Drosophila melanogaster: one gene and its partners. Changing the gene in region 1 together with any one later gene gives a genetic interaction. Each region holds a gene or a part of one and is shown in the gene's direction. Other genes may lie near its edges. The genes, in order: mbl, amos, Ref1 and CG10341.

What was found.
Region 2: of mbl (region 1) and amos, changing one enhances a phenotype caused by changing the other (phenotypic enhancement), as found in Drosophila melanogaster (one study listed by BioGRID).
Region 3: of mbl (region 1) and Ref1, changing one suppresses a phenotype caused by changing the other (phenotypic suppression), as found in Drosophila melanogaster (one study listed by BioGRID).
Region 4: of mbl (region 1) and CG10341, changing one enhances a phenotype caused by changing the other (phenotypic enhancement), as found in Drosophila melanogaster (one study listed by BioGRID).

What each region holds. Positions count from the first base shown.
Region 1 is NT_033778.4:17,263,319-17,268,802, forward strand, and holds the start of mbl (muscleblind), read left to right. Parts: upstream 1-2,199; 5' UTR 2,200-2,893; intron 2,894-5,484. UniProt on the Drosophila melanogaster protein: Required for terminal differentiation of photoreceptor cells. Vital for embryonic development.
Region 2 is NT_033779.5:18,595,240-18,598,976, reverse strand, and holds amos (absent MD neurons and olfactory sensilla), read left to right. Parts: upstream 1-2,055; 5' UTR 2,056-2,070; coding exon 2,071-2,667; 3' UTR 2,668-2,841; downstream 2,842-3,737. Other genes in the region: CG15160 (uncharacterized protein), read right to left, coding at 3,603-3,670. UniProt on the Drosophila melanogaster protein: Transcription factor involved in early neurogenesis; sensillum basiconica formation and maybe sensillum trichodea development. Promotes multiple dendritic (MD) neuron formation. Required for olfactory sensilla; regulated by lozenge (lz).
Region 3 is NT_033777.3:7,076,895-7,082,215, reverse strand, and holds Ref1 (RNA and export factor binding protein 1), read left to right. Parts: upstream 1-1,828; 5' UTR 1,829-2,006; coding exon 2,007-2,252; intron 2,253-2,760; coding exon 2,761-2,962; intron 2,963-3,196; coding exon 3,197-3,394; intron 3,395-3,808; coding exon 3,809-3,963; 3' UTR 3,964-4,312; downstream 4,313-5,321. Other genes in the region: CG1943 (uncharacterized protein), read right to left, coding at 4,941-5,297.
Region 4 is NT_033779.5:18,696,736-18,701,500, forward strand, and holds CG10341 (uncharacterized protein), read left to right. Parts: upstream 1-1,978; 5' UTR 1,979-2,099; coding exon 2,100-2,241; intron 2,242-2,300; coding exon 2,301-3,853; 3' UTR 3,854-3,910; downstream 3,911-4,765. Other genes in the region: CG10338 (uncharacterized protein), read left to right, coding at 1-623, 686-1,019, 1,089-1,150. UniProt on the Drosophila melanogaster protein: RNA-binding protein required for the maturation of the box H/ACA small nucleolar ribonucleoprotein (H/ACA snoRNP) complex and ribosome biogenesis.

The sequences.
Region 1 (5,484 bases):
GGGGAAAAGTTATTACAGTAATCCAGAGGATCCAAGGATTAATATGAGCTGGTTTACTTTCAGCATAATTGTCTTTCTACTCTTAGCACCCTTGATTCGTTTTTAAAACTACTAATGCTAACCGAATATTAGACAACATTGTTAATCTTGCTAATATCCTTATAATTATCGATATACAACAGCCATAATAAATTACATGTTTCGGCAGTGATTTGGCACATTCCAATCATAATAGACGCAAATCGGATTTATCTCCATTATTTGTAAACATAACTCATTATTTGCTTCATCCACGCTTACCACTCCTTCAGTTCGCGATTGTAATTCATGTAATTCATTATGCATAATTTGCAGACCAAAAAACCTTTCACTTGCCCCCGAGCTCCATTAGCGATCTTTGTTTCTCTTTCGGGTCACTGACAAAAACTCCAATTTGAAATCGTTTAAAAATAGTGAACTCACACAAACACCGATGGACTTCTAATAATAAAAATCAAATCCTGGTGGGGGCGGGGTATATCCACCGTATAGTGGAGCTAAAATCATTGCGGGGGCGTTCCTCGATCTGGATCTGCATCTGGTTCGGGTCGGGTCGCTCTCTCTCTCTCTCTCTATCCCCTTTCATATGGATTTGGCTTTCACATGCCAGTTCTCGTTGGACTTCGTTTTTTTCGTTCTTGAAATCGCTTACATTCACTTTTTATTACAATTAACCTACACGGAGTGGTGCATGGTGTGCGTTAGTGGTATTCCCCCCTTTCCACGCCTACACCACATATTTTAATTGCCATGTGGGGGGTGTTAGGACCATATCTTTTGTTGCCAAAAAATCCAAAGAACGAAACAAATTTATGACATAGAAATGTCAAGAGTTGTGGCTGTGTGTGTGCGTTACATATTTCTATTTCTGGCCCGCTGGGCTGCATTCGGATATATAGCTATACCGTTATGGATGGGATGCATTTACGTAAATGATTTAGAACATATCGAACACATTTTGAAGGTGACTTTGACAGAGCGAACAAAGTTCCAATTCACTAAGTTCACTTATTTCTGTCCTTAGGCCCAAATGGAAACTGCAAGCAAACATTAATTATCATTGCGGTGTGTGAACAATTAGAGCAATGGTATTTTTCAAAAATGTACCTGGCCATTGCATGAATAAGTAGAACAAATGGTTTTTTGTTAAAAATAATTTAATAATTATATTCTTTAAGGTGCAGGTTTATACATATTCAAGATTTACAAAAAACCTTTTTTAATGGGGTCTTAGCAAAAATAATGAAAATTTCCAAAAATAAAAGATAATTGTTTTGTATATGTACGTACTTAAGCTGACGACTTAAAATGAACAGAAAATCATCAAAGCAAATTTATGACACTAAGCATAATTATAATATAATAATTATAATATACATAAGCCCTAAATAATTATAACGTGCCCAATCACTTGTGTCAAAATTGTAAAGATTTTTAGAAATTAAAATTCCTAAAATGTCTATTTATATGTCCATATTTATTATCTATTATTATCTATAGTTTTACACATTTAAATTTTTTTATCACCTAAAAAAAAAAGATTTATCGAAGGCTTGAGAGAGCCACAAAAAATACATTATCTAGTTTCTACCGTTAATTTAGTCACCGATTTGCAAAAATTAGTTGCCAGGCTATTTTATAGTCCGCAACCTACGCCAAAAGCTTAAGTCTGTCTACTTTTGGCCAGTTAACCTTTTAGTTGATTGTCAACTCGACTCGCCTTCATTGAACTCGGCAACCCCTAAAAACCCCCCTCGGTAATCAACAAAACCAAAAACACTCGAACTCTCTTCATTGGATAAAAGTACTCTTTAAGAGCACACAAGAGAGCTCGTCGGACTGTGGGACAAACAAACACTTTTTCGTACTGAATGGAGGGTTGACAGTTTGATTGCAACAGTTGACACCTATAAAATTTAAGCTGACGAAAAGAGTTAGTCAAGCATTTATACACTAATATACAAAATAATATATAAATTGGAATATCTTTTCCACTTCTTATATGCTACAACGTTTTGAAGTTACTAAAATGCCACAGTATGTGGTTTTTTGCCCCACAGTGCAAGCGTAAGCGAAAGAGAATGACAGGCAGAGAGTGAAAGAGAGCGAGAGAGTTTCGAGTCGAATTGGAATGGAATGACCAGAAAAATATTGCTGCTTTCAGTTTCGAAAAATTTTTCGATGGAAGCGGTTCTGTCAGCGGAAAAGTGAATTATACCAGAGCCTGCCTGAAAAACTCAAGAAAACCCCATCAAAGAAATAGCAGCTCTCAGCTAAATAATAACAAACACAATACTTTCTGCTCAGTCACCGCAAACAGAAATAATCACAATTCTGCAAAACGCCGTCATCAAAAAAGTTTTAGCCTACAACTCTAGAAACGCGGAAAAATTTGTCAAAAATACAACTAAAAAAACAACAACGCGAGTGCACGTGTATGTGAGGTGCTCAGTAAGAGTGTTTGCGTGTGTTCGTTTCTGTGTGTGACAGATAATAAAAGGAGAAAAAAAGAAGTTGTCGAAAGTCGTTCGTGAAAATTCAAGAAAAATAGTGCAAGCGCTGCAGGGAAATTGTCCGGAAAAATCGCAAAATCCATTGTTTTTAGCCGGCATCTTAAAAACCAACGATAACAACAGCTTCTGCAACAACGCGCGTGTTTAGTTCACACACACACCACGGAGCGTCGAGAAAAAAAGGTTAAAAATACATTTTCAATTCACCATCGGCGTAAAAGTAAAACAATAAACAAATACAAGAAAATAAAACAGCAGCCGCTTTTTCACCCAACAACAACAATTTCAACAACTTCAACTTCGCCAGCAGCAACAACAACAAGTCAGCTGGACAACCGAAGGTGTTTATACTTAAAAACAAAAAAAAAAGAGATCGTTGTGTTTTTTTCCTTTTGTTTTCTCTCTTTTTTCGCCTTCGTCTTAAGTTTATGTTTTTTTTCTATCCATCGGTTTGTCTCTTCCCTTTCTTGCCACATTTCGTGGTCTTGTTTGTTATTGCTGTCGAATTTTCGGTGATGCCAAGTGAAAAGTCGGAAATTCTGTTTCATGACAGGGAAAACTTAATATTGTAAGGAAAGTTGTTCTCAAGACTGGAGAAGAAGAAATAATGGGAGAAAATTAACATAAGTAAACGTAAAGGAAACTAATGTTTTTCAAAGTTAATAAGGTGTATGTAGTTTTAAAGTGTAGTATCCATCCAATAAAACTTCGGTATTTAAAGTTTAAAAAAAAAAGTTAATTTCAACATACATAAAGTCTCATTGGTAGTGTTTTATAATTACAGTGTTGCAAAAGAAGTCACTTACTTAGAGTCTATTTAGTGCTGAATAAGGTGCAGAAACATTGACGTATTCAATATTACAGAGATGCATATGCATATATATCGGAGGCTAATTTATATTGTTTGATTTAAATAATTTAACAACAAAATTCTATTTACCAAATTTGTTCAGGCCAAAAAATATAAAAAAGTACGGAGCAATATACACAAATATACATTTATTATTGAAAACAAACTACTTTACACGGCCAAAAATATAAATTCTGCATTAATAAGTGTATTATAATCATTAAAAAAAACTTGCTTAATCTGTTAAAATAATGCACATCTCGTTCACTTGGCTTGGTAAAGCTTAATGACCGAAAATCAAATTGAAATTGAGCCTAATGAACTGTGAAATAATAATTAAAATTCAACAAATTGCAAACCAAATTTGTCAGAGTGAAAATGGGAATGGTTATTCCACATTATTGGGCATTAAATACGTTAAATATATCCACATTATTTGCGAAAGCGCCCTAACAGCTTAACATGAATATATATCATCTGTGGAGTTAATTAACTTAAAAGCACGGTAAAAACTACAAATATTCGCGTTGTAATATAATGCAAATTTAGCCATTTTTATTCTAAAGCCGGACAAGGCCTAGACTATTAAACAAACAAAATGGAGAAAAAAAAAATACATCTAAGTCGAGCGATTTTTACTGTGCGTTTCAACACTGTTAGCCAGTTGTAAAGAAACACACGTGACAATAAAACAAAACGCCTGCAAACAGGCAATTACGGAATTAATGGCTAAATCAAATTGTTTTGAAAGCTTACGATATTTAATGGGCTTAGACACCCGAACAGAAAACAGACATGATTCTTAAATTTAATGTGATTATTTTGTTAAACGAAACTGATTCAATTACCGCATTTGTTCTGACACTGCAAATCGATTTCATTTTAGGGTCTTAGAGACGAATTAATGGGAAATACGATCCCGAAACGCACTGTACTCGCACATGCAAATACATAGATTTTATTTTAACGAAAAGTCACGTTTTTTATGTGGTTCTCCACCTAAAAACCCACACCCCTCGCTCTTGCCAAGTCGTAACCATTAAATTTATGTTTATTTCGGTCCTAGCTTCGGTTTCAGTTGCAAAAAGATTGTTATTATAATTTTTCCGATTTGTTTCGTTTTCCTCCAGTTCAGATATGCAAATTGAATTAGCTCTGCCCGCTGGCAACTGGAAAACAAAAAGCAAAAGTTTGACACATTTCGTTTTTATTTTTACTCTTCATTTTTACCCATCATCATCAACAAAAGTGTCAAAAATGTGTTGCTGCAGAAATATGAGTCAAAGAAATCGTTTGGAAAATGCCAAAAATGAATTATTATTTCTGTCCATTTGTTCAATACACTCTGACAAGTCATTCACTTTTTCTCCTCCGAACGTACTCAAAAAATCAAACTCGAACCATAACTACAAAACGCCACGAATGCCACAAGACGGTTTTATATTTTGTTGGTGAAGGGGATTGGTATGAAAACTTGAGGACTTTTGGCATGACTAATCGATTCGATTTTTCGCCAAAAACTCATGCCGCAGTACAAAAAGACGAGGCAAGAAAAAACGTCGCTGTGAGAAATATGTGTTTGACTTGTAGTAAGAGGGTTTTGTGCTTTAAGCTCTTCTCAATAGGTCGTAAATATCGATAGGAACACCCCCTTTCGGTTGTCGAAAGTGTGGAAATAGCGTTGTATATGTCCGTGTTTGTTTGCTCGGCTCGCGATTTCAGTTTTGATGCGAGATGACAGCACTCGAAAAGGTGTCAGAGTTCAGACGAAAGGTATAAAAAGGTCTAGCCTTAAATCGCTAGAAAGCTCAAAACAATACAATTTGCTTATGAGCAAATACTTGTTAATTAATGCTTTTAAGTATATATATTCACATCTTCACTAAATAGCTAAATACAGTGTTCTGGAAAAAATTTCAATATATTCAAAATTGGCAAACTATTGATCGAGTTTTCGTTTAATGCTGGAATTTTTATATCTGAAATATCGATTCGTTGCGTTTCTGTTTTATATCTCATCTTGTATTTTTGCATTCACATAAACATTTCGTTTCCGTTGCGAAGATTTTCAGATCTTAGTTT
Region 2 (3,737 bases), on another chromosome or scaffold:
AAAAATAAAAGGGCGTACATTTAAATAAAATAATGATCAGCAAAAACATTTAAAGTATGCAATTATAAATTATATTCCAATTCTCCGCTTTCGCTAGGAACATCCATTTCAAGTTCTTGCTAGACATACTGTCTGGATATTTTTGCACATCTGTGACCACAACGAATTTACTTGGAAACAAACAAATCTTTGTATATAATAATTCATAATTCCAGATTATTACATGGTAATTATGCTCAGGACAATGAAGTTAGGTCTGATCCATTTCAGACCAACAATGGGACCAAAAAACAAAGATCCATTGTCAGGCATTGCAATACAAAGAGTGGAATCAACAAGTGTCGGGCGAGAAGAGATTCCCATGGAATTCCTGGTGACTCCGGGACTCTGACTTCTAATCTCATTTTCGCAATTTAGCGCCAACAACTAATCCGCAAAGCGAAAACGATTAATCTGGCAGGGAAAACCCAAAAACACGCAACTGCCAGACGTATCCGAGATTATCATCAGGTGACCTATTGTTGGTCAGAAGAAAAGAAACAAACGGGCATGGATATGGATGGAGTGCGGAGAGAGGTTCCCACTTTCAACCAGAACCGCCCACCAACCGACTACCTATTGTTGCTATTTTGACAGGATCGAGGTCCCAGGTAGCGCAGAAAAATGCTAATTGGAAATTCCAGAACCTCTTTTCGAAGGCGTTGCAGATCTTTAGGTTATCCGCGAACCTTTCTCCCGAAAATATTGCAGCATAATGCCTAATCTGGGCCAGGATTTCGACTAAGCTGCGGTCGCGTGGCACTCTTAACAAAGTGAACCGATCGAGCGATCGATCGATCCATCAGCTATCATCATCATCGTCAAGATCAAACGTCAGGATCCTTTGTCGGCTCGGGACTTTGTTCCTTGACAATTTGGGCGAAGTAACTGGGCCATCTTGCAGTGGCATCATTTGTACTCTTTAGCCATGCTCGGCGCTTCTCGGCCAGTGTTTTCCAATTGTTTTGCCCAGTTTCCTTAGAAATTCAGCGAACTCCTCGAATTGATTTTCCCTCTAATGCTGCGAGTCTGTGGAGTTAATTAGCCTTTCGATGCGGTCACTTGAAAGTGGGCTTGATCCCAAGATGACTGTGGAAACCAGAGCATACGAATGAAAGTATATAATGTGAGGGTGCAACATATTGCACCAGAGTTTCGAAGGACCCATCGAATGGTTTCAGCATGTTAAAGTAGTGTAGTTTTATTATCGGAAAAGTAACTCTTCAGTAAAGGCGTTAATATAGCACATTTCAAATCCCTTAATATGAAAATAATAATAAATAATAATAATGTGATACTTGCTTTGATTTCTTCATGCTTTTTTGAATTTCGAACTTCTCGACGTCCTGTAATTTGGCCATTGAAAGCAGGAGAAAGCCACTATTAATACACCCACTTAAATTTGACCCAATAAAGTAAGTACAACCGCCTAAAATCGAAAGTCACAAACCGCACAAGCACAATTGTTGCTCTTTGTTCTGTCCGAAAAATGGGGTTTGCATCCAACCAGTCGAGCACTCCACTCACTAGACCACAGACATGCAACCAAGATGATCCATGGCGATCTTCGATGGAGGCACACATTGTGGAAAATATTCCCATATGACAAGAGTCTTTTGTGCGTTCGCATTTTGACCTTGGCTAAATTTTGTTTGAATATAAAAAGTCAATTCCAGGGCAAGTAACAAAAGAGGTATGATTACAGACGGTAGCCAAATGACAGGTCAAACAAAAGGAGTCGACCTGTAGCTGATACAGTAAATACCTGGGAGAAAGAGGGAGAGAGTTGCAGCCAGAGACAATTAAACGTCTTGACCGCAAGCCAATTTAGGGCACGGGCTGTGCTGCTGATCCTCAAGAGGTTGGCAATCGGGTACCTGAGCGGATCGGATCAGCTTGAGGCAGCGAATCAGGTAACAGGACATATGTAGTGAACCAATCACGTGAGAGCTGAATCCTCGGCAGGCAGCTATATAAAGACCCATCCTCAAGCAGCCACTTCAGTTGTCCCTTGAGCCTGCAAACGTAAACATGTTGACCAACAACGAGCTAATGGAGCAGTTCTACTTCCCCGACGAAGCCCCAGCGATTCCCGAGTTCCTGAGCAACGACACCTTCCAGCAGTTGGAGCAGCTCATGTACCAGCAGGAGTTCAGCACCAGCGACAGCCAGTCGGATGGCGCCAACAGTTGCTCCTTGGAGATGTATTACGATACGCCGTCTGTCCTGGAATTGGAGCACATGCTGAATGCCCAGGAGCAGCAGCAGCACCACCTTCAAGCGAATCCCTTGGGCAAGAATCAGGGCAGAAGTCCAAGGTACTGGAACAAGCAGCAGAGGAGCAAGCCATACGACAAGCTGTCCACTTCCATGTCATCATCTACATCCTCCGCCTCTTCGAGCAGTTCATCGTCCGCGGGATTCGGTGGCGAAGTCCTCAAAAAACGGCGACTGGCCGCCAATGCTCGGGAACGGAGGCGGATGAACAGCCTGAACGATGCCTTCGACAAGTTGAGAGATGTGGTTCCATCACTCGGCCACGATCGGCGACTCTCCAAATACGAAACTCTGCAAATGGCGCAAGCATACATCGGGGATCTGGTCACGTTGCTGTCCAGAGACTACTAGCCAGTGTGGGCGATCCTTTATCCTTTCTTCCTCAAATGGAAGTTCCTTTTGCGGGCTGTGTTGCAGCAACACCTTCATATCCTAGTGGAAATCTTATAAAGGCTGTTAGTTTTACGTTTATTATCATAGTTGTACACAATTCAAGCAATAGTTTTATAATAAAAATGAAAATACAAATCAATTATATTGTTTTAAATTCATATCGTATGAAATGGTGGAGTTGGAATGAAAATAATGTTGTGCGAACTTGGAAATTTATATTTTGTTTGAATTGTATCTTTGCATTTTTTGCTGGTACATATACAGAATTTAGAGCAGATATTTTTAGAGAGAAAAAGGGAAAAATCCAATAAATATTTAAAAAAAAGATAGGAAGTTTATAGGTACTGAAATGTAAATAACTTATCAGACTTATTAATTTACATAAATATATGTAAAAACTCCATTTATCAATCCAACTGATGCCTCCACATTTGTTTTTATTCGCCACGCTTTCATCTCAGCCCGAAAAAGGGTATCCTTGTTATCCTTGAAAGATGAGAGCGGCATGGCAAGCTAGGCAGTGCGCCACGCCCACGAACCAAAACGAAAGGTCATAACATCAGTAACAAACCGAGAATTAATGAGTTCCGCTTCCGACTCAAAGTGATGGAACTCCAAAACAGAAGTGATTAAATGCCGCAAACGTCAACAGGTAAACACACTGAGGATAAACACAGTCGCTACCTTAGATCCTTCGAAGATTAGACGAAAATTGATTTAAACATAGTCATTTGTAAGTGCTATGGGAACTGTGGGTGGACCGAGCGAGTATCTATCTGAAACGGATGAAGTCGAGGATCCAGAAAGACAAAAGACGTATCGTACACAACAGTTTTCAATTGCAAATATCACATTGATGTTTGTATTTATAAAACTAAATACAGATTGTTAACTTAGCTTACTATAACTATGGTGTATAGCTTGAGTCCACAGAAATCTGAGAAATTGCTCTTCAATAAGTCTGGAATAGAATGCACAACGAAATAAGTAAGATAGTATATAGTAAACTAACTAGGTGGTCAATAAAT
Region 3 (5,321 bases), on another chromosome or scaffold:
GTTTTACTTTTCAAGTACTAATGGTACAGTGTGACCAAGGGTCACGTTTGCGTTTAAATAATTATTTTTAAAATACTGAAACTCGCGGGCACTGTGGGCCACTTCTGCGTAACTGTTCCTAAAAAACAAAATAAAACGGTTATGGTTGTATTTATAATAAAAGCACAAGAGAATGCTATAGTCGAGTTCACAGATACCAGTTAGTGTAAATGCGAACACGAAATTTCAACATTTTTCTGGGAGGGATCTAATATCTAGGGGAATAAAATGAGCAAAAATTTTTCAATTGCGTCTTTAGGGCGTTAGAGCGGCGTGGTAAAAAGTTTTTCGGCAAATCGATAGAAATTTACAAGGCTAATAGAATTTTGAAAAAATTCGAAGAATTGTTCAAAAGTTTGAGCGTGGCGTTTTTTACGGCTTGAGAACGTAAGAGTGGGCGTGGCAACATGGTCTATGTCTCTAGAGGCTGTATGCTGAATCTGAACCTTCTCGCTTTTATAGTTCCTGAGATCTCCACGGACATGGCTAGATCGACTCGTCTATTGTTCCTAATCAAGAATATATATACTTTATATAGTCGGAAGCACTTCCTTCTAGTTGTTAGATACTTTTCAACGAATCTAGTATACCCTCTTACTCTACAAGTAACGGGTATAACTAGGCTGTATCCCAATCAAGAAATTTGTATTTCCATTTGAGATTTTCGGATTAGATTAAGATTAAGTTGTTTATAAGCTAAATGTTGAAAATTTTCTTCAAAATTAAAATTTAATTTTTTTTTTTTAATTTGAAATGCTACCAGCTCATCTAAAGAAGCCTCACAACTCCTGCAAGCAGAGCTACGCTGGTTTCTTCTTTGGAAAATTAATGTCAACGCCCTGAAATCTGCGCAAATAACTTTTGCATTAAGAAGAGATGACTGCCCACAAAGTAATTGCATAAAGTACCTTGGCTTGCACCTCGATCCCAGACTAACGTGAAAAAACACATAAAAGCAAAGCGCCAGCAACTAAATCTAAAAAGTTTGAAGATGACCTGGTTGCTGGTTGCCGAAAATCTGCAACCACTCTGGAAAATAAAGTCCGTTTATACAAAGCCATACTAAACTTATACCAGCAATTCAAATATTTAGATTCTACAACGCTACCAATCAAAAATATTAAGACAAATTGTTGATGCTCAATTTTTATTTCAAATGCAAGTATCCATAAAGACTTAGGAATCCCTTATGTTAAAGAAGAAATAGCAAAACATATTAAAAAATATATAGACAGACTAAGAACACATGAAAATAACTTAGCCTTAAGTTTGGTAAAACGTAATAACAACGTCAGAAGACTTAAAAGATTTTACGTGCTAGACCTCCCTGACAGGTTTTAAGTATTAAAACATGTTATGCCTAGAGTATGTAGTAGGGATTAATGGATAACTACTGCCTCTGTTAATATAAGATTAATTATAAAATGTACTTATTGTCATACTTTTTTAAGACAGATTGTAAATAAAAAGAGAGAAAAAAAAAACTTAGATGGGAGGTAATCATTCCAAATAATTTTCCAAGATCATAGTCATTTTAATCACAACATTTAATCACAACATTATTATAATCACATATTTATTATGGTTCTAAACATTTTCAAAAGTGGATATTTCCCATATTATTAGGATATTTCGTGAATATGAATTATAATAATTTTTAATGTTATGTTATATTTTATGTTTATATAATTTCCGTATTTACCCTATTTCGCCGTTTCATTTTCGTTGACAACTCGTTGTCGTCGTTATCTTGACGCACACCGTTATTCAACACTTTTTTCCTCTGAACCAATATGGCGATTGTGTAGATCTGTGTGCGTCGTTTTTGCAAAGTTTTGTGAAATTCCACGCGCTCCTCCTTAAAAAAAAAACGCTTTAAACACATTCTTCAGTAGCAAGCAGAGACCCAATCTTTCCCTTGACTTTAAACGATCTCCAAGTAGTCAATACAGCACGCAATAAGCAAGATGGTGGACAAAATTGAAATGAGCCTCGACGACATCATTAAGTCCACACGCTCGCAAAAAAAGCCGCAAGCCGCCCGCGGCGGACCAGGTGGCGCCCGAAAAACGGGCGGACAGCAGCGTTTTGCTGGTGGAGCCCGCCGCGGCGGAGCCAATGCCGGCGGCTCGCCCAGGAAGCCAGGAAGCGTGCTCAAGGGCCCGCGAGGAGGAGTGGCCGCCGGAGCCGTTCAGAAGGCCAAGTTCCCACGGGTAATTCATTGCGTTTCAATGGCCAAACGGAGCAGCCGGAGCAGACCATCCCCGTGCTCAGTTCACCAGGACAGAGCACTACCAAAGCAAGTGTCTTGCGGCCCATGATCCGCACAACAGTGCTTGGAAGCGAAAAACAGACTCAGAATCTAAACCAAAATCAAAATGGCCACCATGCGCCTTCCAACGGACGGAACAACTCTTCGAGCCCGAGCAGAGCCTCAAGTTCAAGTTCCTTTAACCCCGTTTTTACAGAATACCAAACAGACGACACCTGTGTCTTAACTTATTTTTCCTCACGTCTCACGCCTCACGTTTTCCACGTGAACCATACCCAGTTAACAAGCATTTCTAGTGTCTCCGCTCAATATGGCTGTCCTCTCTTGTGGCTAGGATACGATGCAACTGCTACTGCAACGGCTACTCCCGCCACATACATATAGTTGATACGCGCAGCGTTCGAAGACATACCCATCTACCTTCTACCTAATACTACCCCCACCTCTAGGGCGATGTGAACAGCGCTTGGAAGCACGATATGTACGACGGACCGAAGAGGGGTGCCGTCGGTGGAGGATCTGGACCCACCCGCCTCATCGTCGGTAACCTGGACTACGGCGTATCCAACACGGACATCAAGGAGCTCTTCAACGACTTTGGTCCGATAAAGAAGGCGGCAGTGCACTACGATCGCTCCGGTCGCTCGTTGGGTAAGTGCTAGTACTACTCCAGCTACCTGTCGTTAGGTGAAACATTTCGGTACATGCTGTTCATAAAATGGCGGCAGAATGGTTCAGTAACAGACATTCCAAGTAATATAAATCGGCTTGAATTGATAACAGATCAGATCATCCGATGAAGCTGCGGTTTTTATTTAGTATTTTGATTTATGCCGAAATTTAAAGCTATTGCCATGTATTTGATTTATTCACTTTTCTTTGCAGGCACCGCTGACGTGATTTTCGAACGTCGCGCCGACGCCTTGAAGGCCATTAAACAGTACCATGGCGTACCTTTGGACGGACGCCCTATGACCATTCAGCTGGCCGTCTCAGACGTGGCCGTGTTGACCCGTCCCGTAGCCGCCACCGATGTCAAGCGTCGCGTGGGTGGTACTGCACCAACTTCATTCAAGCGTGGTGGTGCGTATCCAAAATGCTACAGCAGGGACCGTGAATGATGCCCATTTTCGTTTATTTTTACCACAAACATCGTTCATTTAAAACTATTTCAGATCAATTTTGGATCTATCCCCATTCCCACAAAGATTTTTAAATGCCTATTTATTTCGATTACCTAGTATGTCTTAGGTTTCAAATTTTGTTACTTGACTTTTTATACGAAATACTTTCCTTTCTTTGTTATGTTTTCTTGTCAACAGCTTTTGTAATTATTCAAACTTTTGTTTCGATTTAATACGATGTTTGTTGGGTAAACTACGTTACTAGGTCAGTTCCACATATGAAAGCTTACCTTTCTATAATGACCATGATACGGTCCCATGACGATCCATCCTTGCTCCAATGCTTACACTATCATTCCGAACTGTTTTTTAGGTGGCCAAGCTGGTGGCACGGCGCGTCGCGGCTTCAAACGTCCGGTCGGTGGCAAGCCGGCGGCAGGCGGCCAGCGACGGGAGCGCAAGGCCCCGCCCACTGCTGAGGAGCTGGACGCCGAACTGGACTCATACATCAACGACATGAAGATCTAAATAGTGAATAGTCTGAATTAGTCTAACAAGAATAGAAGAGCAGCCCAATCTATAGTTTTAAGCCTACCATATGGACACCCCCCGCATGGTACATAAATGCAAACGCATCGACAACGCCGCGCCCAGGAGCAGATCTTTGAAAGCATCGGACATCAAATCAATCAACCACTTGCGCATTTATCCATTAATTGTTAGTTTTGCCAATGCGGCGGATGTTAAGATAACTGAAATACATTTGATGCTGTATTTATTGTATTTAGAAATGCGCTTTATCAAGTTCGACGATAAATTGATGGACCTTGTCAAATTAAACTGAATTGTAATAAATACTAGAATTAATTTCGTGACCAAATCGAATTGTATTTACTGACTCAATAGGCTAGGAGTATTGTTTAATTACTAGGCGGCGGCGGACTCCGAAGAATCTCCATCAACTTGCAAAAATAAAAGAGCCATCACTTACAATTAAATGTTTTATTTGGAGTAATACATCGATGGTTATATTGGTATTCGTTTGGACGAATTTTACAGACTATAAGAAGATTCGATTGGACACTTTAAGTACAAATGCTAAATTAGGCTTAGTAGGTGGTAGATTTTAGCAAAGTCAATCCATATCATCCGTATTTGTGGGGCGGAATCACGAGTTACTTAATTTCAACAATTTCGTTAGACATTTTAAACCTGTTACTTAGACAATAGAACAAATGTGGGACATGAAAATGAAAGGGCGAAAGGAAGAACGACTTGGAGTGCTGCTTGGCAAAATATAATCAGTTTCCCTTCTTCTTCGGCTGATCAGCAGGTTAATATAGGTAATGCGCCTCTAAATATAGGTGTATACGTATGTTATAAGCGAGTTATGTATATTTATAGTTTTATGATTCTTATGTCGGTCTGAGGATGTGATGGTGAGTCATTAAATGCTTGGCAGCTGCTTCTGCTCCCGGGCACACTTCCTTCCCTCCTTCCTCCCTCTACCAGAATCCGCCCGACGAGAATCCGCCGGGTGGAACTCGGCCGCGTGCCTCTCCATTTGTGGCCGCTGGTTTGTTCGCCGGCTCCTTGGGCTGGCTGGGTGGGGCGGACTTGGCCTCCTCCTTCTGGATGGAGACCTCTTCGCGAATTTTCTCCACCACCTTGTTGGGATCCGTGGAGCCCATGCAGGCATTGAGGTTTGAGGAGTTCTGTTGGTTGTACTTGGCACGCGGGGCGGGAACGGCCACGTCGGGCTCCGAGAAGATATTGGTGTGTCCGCCGCCTGGGGGCTTCAGCACTCGGCTGGAGGGACGGGCACTGGTGGTCAGGCCGATTTTCAGCTCGGTGGATGTCATTTTGTCGCTGCTGGTTGTGGTTTC
Region 4 (4,765 bases), on another chromosome or scaffold:
GCAGCACCATCTGCGGCACCCTGTGCACACACGCCATCTTGAAGGGCATCGGCGTGGGCAGCGAGAACATCAATGCCTTTTCCGCAACGGCGACTTGGATCTTGAAGGAGGGCAGTGGTCACGTGGGTCGCATTGTGTTCGCATGGTGGCAGGGCTCCCAATTGGATGTGGACTCAAAGAAATGGCGCCTGCGTGCGGATTTTCTGAACGATCTGGCCATGGGCATCGAGATCTACGTGCTTCCCAAGTATCCGCATTTCAGCACCCAAATCCTGTGCTGCTCGACCCTGCTGAAGGCGATTGTGGGCGTTGCCGGAGGTGCCACTAGATCGGCATTGACCCAGCATCATGCCTTGAGGGGCAACCTGGCCGATGTGGCATCCAAGGACAGTTCACAGGAGACGTGCGTGAATCTGGTGGCCTCCTTTGTGGGCCTGTATCTCCTCTCGCTGATCAAGAGTCAGGCGGTCCTGTATACCATATTCTACGTGGTGGTCAGCCTGCATCTGTATGCCAATCTGAAAGCAGTACGCGCAGTATGCTTGCGAAGCTTCAACGAGTCGCGCTATTTGATCGCCCTGGAGGAGTTTTTCAGGTCGTCAAGGATGCTCAGTCCGCAGCAGGTTGGTACATCGTTGATCTTGTCGAAAAATAAGGTTTTGTTCAGCTTTGACTTTTTTTCTAGGTGAACGCCATGGAGCGTGTGACGGTTGGCCAAACGGTTTCAGTGTCACTGAACATAAAGCTCGGACTGAGCGTTAAAAATTTGATTGACGAGTACAAGAGCAGCAGCGTTATTGAGAACATAGTGTCCTCCTTCGATCCCCACGAGCACTTCATCATCGCACAGACCAAAAAGTGTCTGGGTGTATATCTGCACTTTGAAACTCGTCCGCAGGATGTGCTGAAGGCGTACTTCTTTGCAGTGTCCTATTTGCAGGACAGGAATCAGCTTAAGGAGAAATACTGGGACATTCAGACGAAGTGGCAGGAGTTTTTGGCGCTGGCGCAGCAAGAGGGTAGGGATAAATTGATTTCATTTGTACTATTAGTGCTAGAGCCCTAATTAATTTTACTATGTATTATAGGTTGGCTAATCCATCATCACTTGCTGCTGGTGGACGAATACCGTTTAGATTGGAAGGTGTAGGAGAATGGTGACTTTGATTGCTAGATTTTGACCTTAGTTGCTTGCTTTGACCTGAAGAATTAATTTCATTAGACTTCATTATCATTCTCACATATCTCACATGGCTACCATAGAGCGAAAACATTGATATTAACTAAGTGCTATTGATATTTACCTAGATTTAGCTTTGTGAATCTCGTTCGCACTTGAACATCTTCCAACTAACTCTGCCTTAGCACAAAGTAATGTTTGTAACCGATATTTGATAAGCTAATTTCGCCCTGCTTTTACCCATGAATTTATCGGAAGACATTGTTTCAATTATTAGCTGCTACTAGGACTAAAGGAGACACAAAAGAAAATCAAGAAACTATTTTGTAAGGACTTATTGTAAGTATGCACTTCGATATTTCGAGAGCATACAATACATTTTTAGATATTAGTCATGAAGAATCTCACAACGAACTACGGAAAACCCGTTTCAATTGCATTCTGAGCAAAAAGTGTACAAAGTTTTAAGCTTTTTTTAATGCTAAATGTGCAATAGTAAGTTAAATATTAGCTTCGAGTATATACGGAATAAGTTGGCGTCCATTTTTGCTTAACTAAAATGCTTTTCAATGAATGCAATATATGAATTGTGTGCATACCGTCTCACCACGCAAATGATTTTAACGAAACAAATAAAAGTAAACAATTTTAAGGACAAAAATATTTATATCACATTTTTTAACAATAAACATTTTAAAAATTATACATTCGTTTTCAACATTTTAAATTTTTTGAGAGCGGTATAAACCATTGCCATTCGCAACGGCTCGATGTATTTTATTTATGACTGTGAATGTTATTTTAGAAAGAAGAAGACAACACGTGCGTGCATTCAACGTGTGTATTCTCAGTTGATATTCGTTTCCCTGCGATTTCAGCTTGATTAAGGAATTGTCTAACTATTTAAAGTTAAATAGGCATGGAGAGTGAGCAGCCAGCGGCTGTAAAGGCTTCAGCTCCAATTGAAGAGCCACAATCCACCGAAACAGCTGTTGAATTGGGGAAACATAGCACCTTGAAGGCAGACTTATCAATAGATAAGTTGGAAACAGCGACAACAGGTAAGCTTATAAGCTTTCTATACTATAAGTTCAATAATAGATTTGGAATTTCAATGCAGAAGCTACGAATGCCGTAGTAGAACCAGTAGAAATGGAGCAGCAGGTGGAAAATGAACTGGTAAATGAGTCAACACAAGCCATGACATCGACCACAACCCAGGAAAAGGTGGTGGGTTCAGTGAATAATCTTGTAGAGGAGCAACAGTGTGTGGAAATGGAATTCGAAACATCATCAGATCTCGTGGTCCAGGGAAGTCCATCGGAAGAATCCAAAAAAGTTGCCTCTGACGCTTCTGCTACTGTGACCGCACCTCAAGTTCAGCCCGCTCCACATGTTGATTCAAGCCCTCAAGCAAGTGGCCTCAGTCTGTTGGCTGCCTACAGCTCTGATGACTCGGATGATGAGAAAGTCACTCCAGTGCAGAACGGCGACAACGATGTGATTGAAGTTCCAGTTACGGACCCCGCATCCTCCACCACCGCATATCGTCCAGTTGTAGCTGTGAGCTCGGATGACGAGAGCTCAAAGAGCAGCAGCAGCAGCAGTGACTCAGACTCCGATTCCGAAGGAGAATACCTCACCGTACTTCGGAAGAAGATTGACAAAAGAATCAACACCGTGGATTGTGACGAGGATGACGAGGACTTTGATGAAGATGGGGCTACAGGAGATCGGTCTCGTCGTCGCCAGCCCCCGAAAGTACGAGGAGAAATGCTCCTTGATGACCTTCCGCCTATTCATCAGCTAGAGATTACTGTACCCGAGGATGAATGCGTTGAACTTGGCAAAGTTCAGTCCATCGTGGATCAGCTTGTTTTGGTTTCCGTGCTGCCGAATTCCATGCTATTCGATCTCGACACCGTTTTGTTCCTGGAGAAGGGTCGCAAGGTCCTGGGCGAAGTGTTCGATGTGTTGGGTCAAGTGTCGGATCCACTGTACTGCGTTCGATTCAACAGTAACAAACAGATCCTCGATAGGGGCATCAAAATTGGCGACGTAGTGTACTGCGCTCCCAAAACCGAACACACTCAATTTGTGATCCTCTCCAAGCTGATGCAAGTTCGAGGATCGGATGCTTCGTGGGAGCACGATGTAGAACCACCAGCCCGCTACGTAGATCACTCGGATGATGAAGAAGAAAGAGAAGCCAGGGCAGAGCAGCGAAAGCGCCGCCAAAGGGATCGCACAAACTCCACAGATTCCGTGGACACGGTAACCTCGGTGGCCACGACAGCCACTAAGGCTTCTTCAGTTGCTCCTCCTCCTCGTCAACGCGGACGTCGTGGGCAACGAGAGAGTTTCCGCCAGAGCCAGCGACCCTCCATTAACCAGCACAACCAGAATCAGCCACAGGACGAACAATACAACTTCCATCCAAGCTACAATCCGGGCAGCTGGCACTCCAACTACTACCAGAACTATCACCAGGCAGCGGCTAACTTTAACATGGCTCAGCAGCATCCTGGCATGCCCTTCCCAGTGCCTAACTATGGCTACGGAATGCCCTACGCCATGCCGCCCATGTACCCACACATGTACCCGCCACCACCACCCTTTGCTCCTCCTCCGCCGAACAACCAGTCACATCAGGGTCAGCCGCCACCCAGCTAGAGATAGGTATGACAATTCAGTGAATTACTTTTATTATTCCAATAAAAAATCTTTATCAATTTGCGTGTGTGTTGTTAAAAATGTGTCCTGGGTTGTTCGATAAAATGCATGAAAGGTTCGTTGGATTTGTATAAAAAGGTACTTAATCTGTGTGGGATCATTAAATACGGTTACGGGTGTAAATATATACGCGTTTAACTACGATATATGTGTACCTGGCTACATGGCTTGGCTTATTATCGTACAGCAGGAAGCACTAAGCGGCCGAAAACAACTTCAATGTGTATAAATATGCTTGCTGGCTAATCTAAAATATATGTAAACATATTTATGTGCGTAATTGTGCACTTTTTCTATATACTATTGGGCTAACAACAGTTGCCTTAACTTGTTAAAATTTCGTTCAACTGCTGAGCAACCACAAAATATTTTGATTGAGCTTATTCGAGCAACCAAACAAGTGGACCGGGATGGGGTCATCCATATTCAGGACCACGTAGGCACGTGAGAATGTGACAATAAAGGTAGGAGCACTCCGAACAGCTCCAAGCTATTTACATTACAACAATAACGTAAAGTAAACGAAACAACAATGGGCCGGTTTGGGTTAATTCTCGTTGATTAATTTGCAAATGTAGGTTCGGAAAGTAATCTTTGGGCATATTATTAGTTTTTAATTAGGCAAGGACTTGGGTTCTATCATCTTGTAATACCTTATTTTCGTTGTATCACATTAAACGATTGCGTACGTTCAATAATCTTTTAGAAAATGGATTATATTACTTATATTCCCACAATATGCATGCCAATATCAAGTGTATATTGCGTTCTTGAATTGTTTAAAAATATTTGGCACATTTTTCTCTTTCGAATACGTAAAATTTGATATGACTTTTCGTGTTATCCCACCAC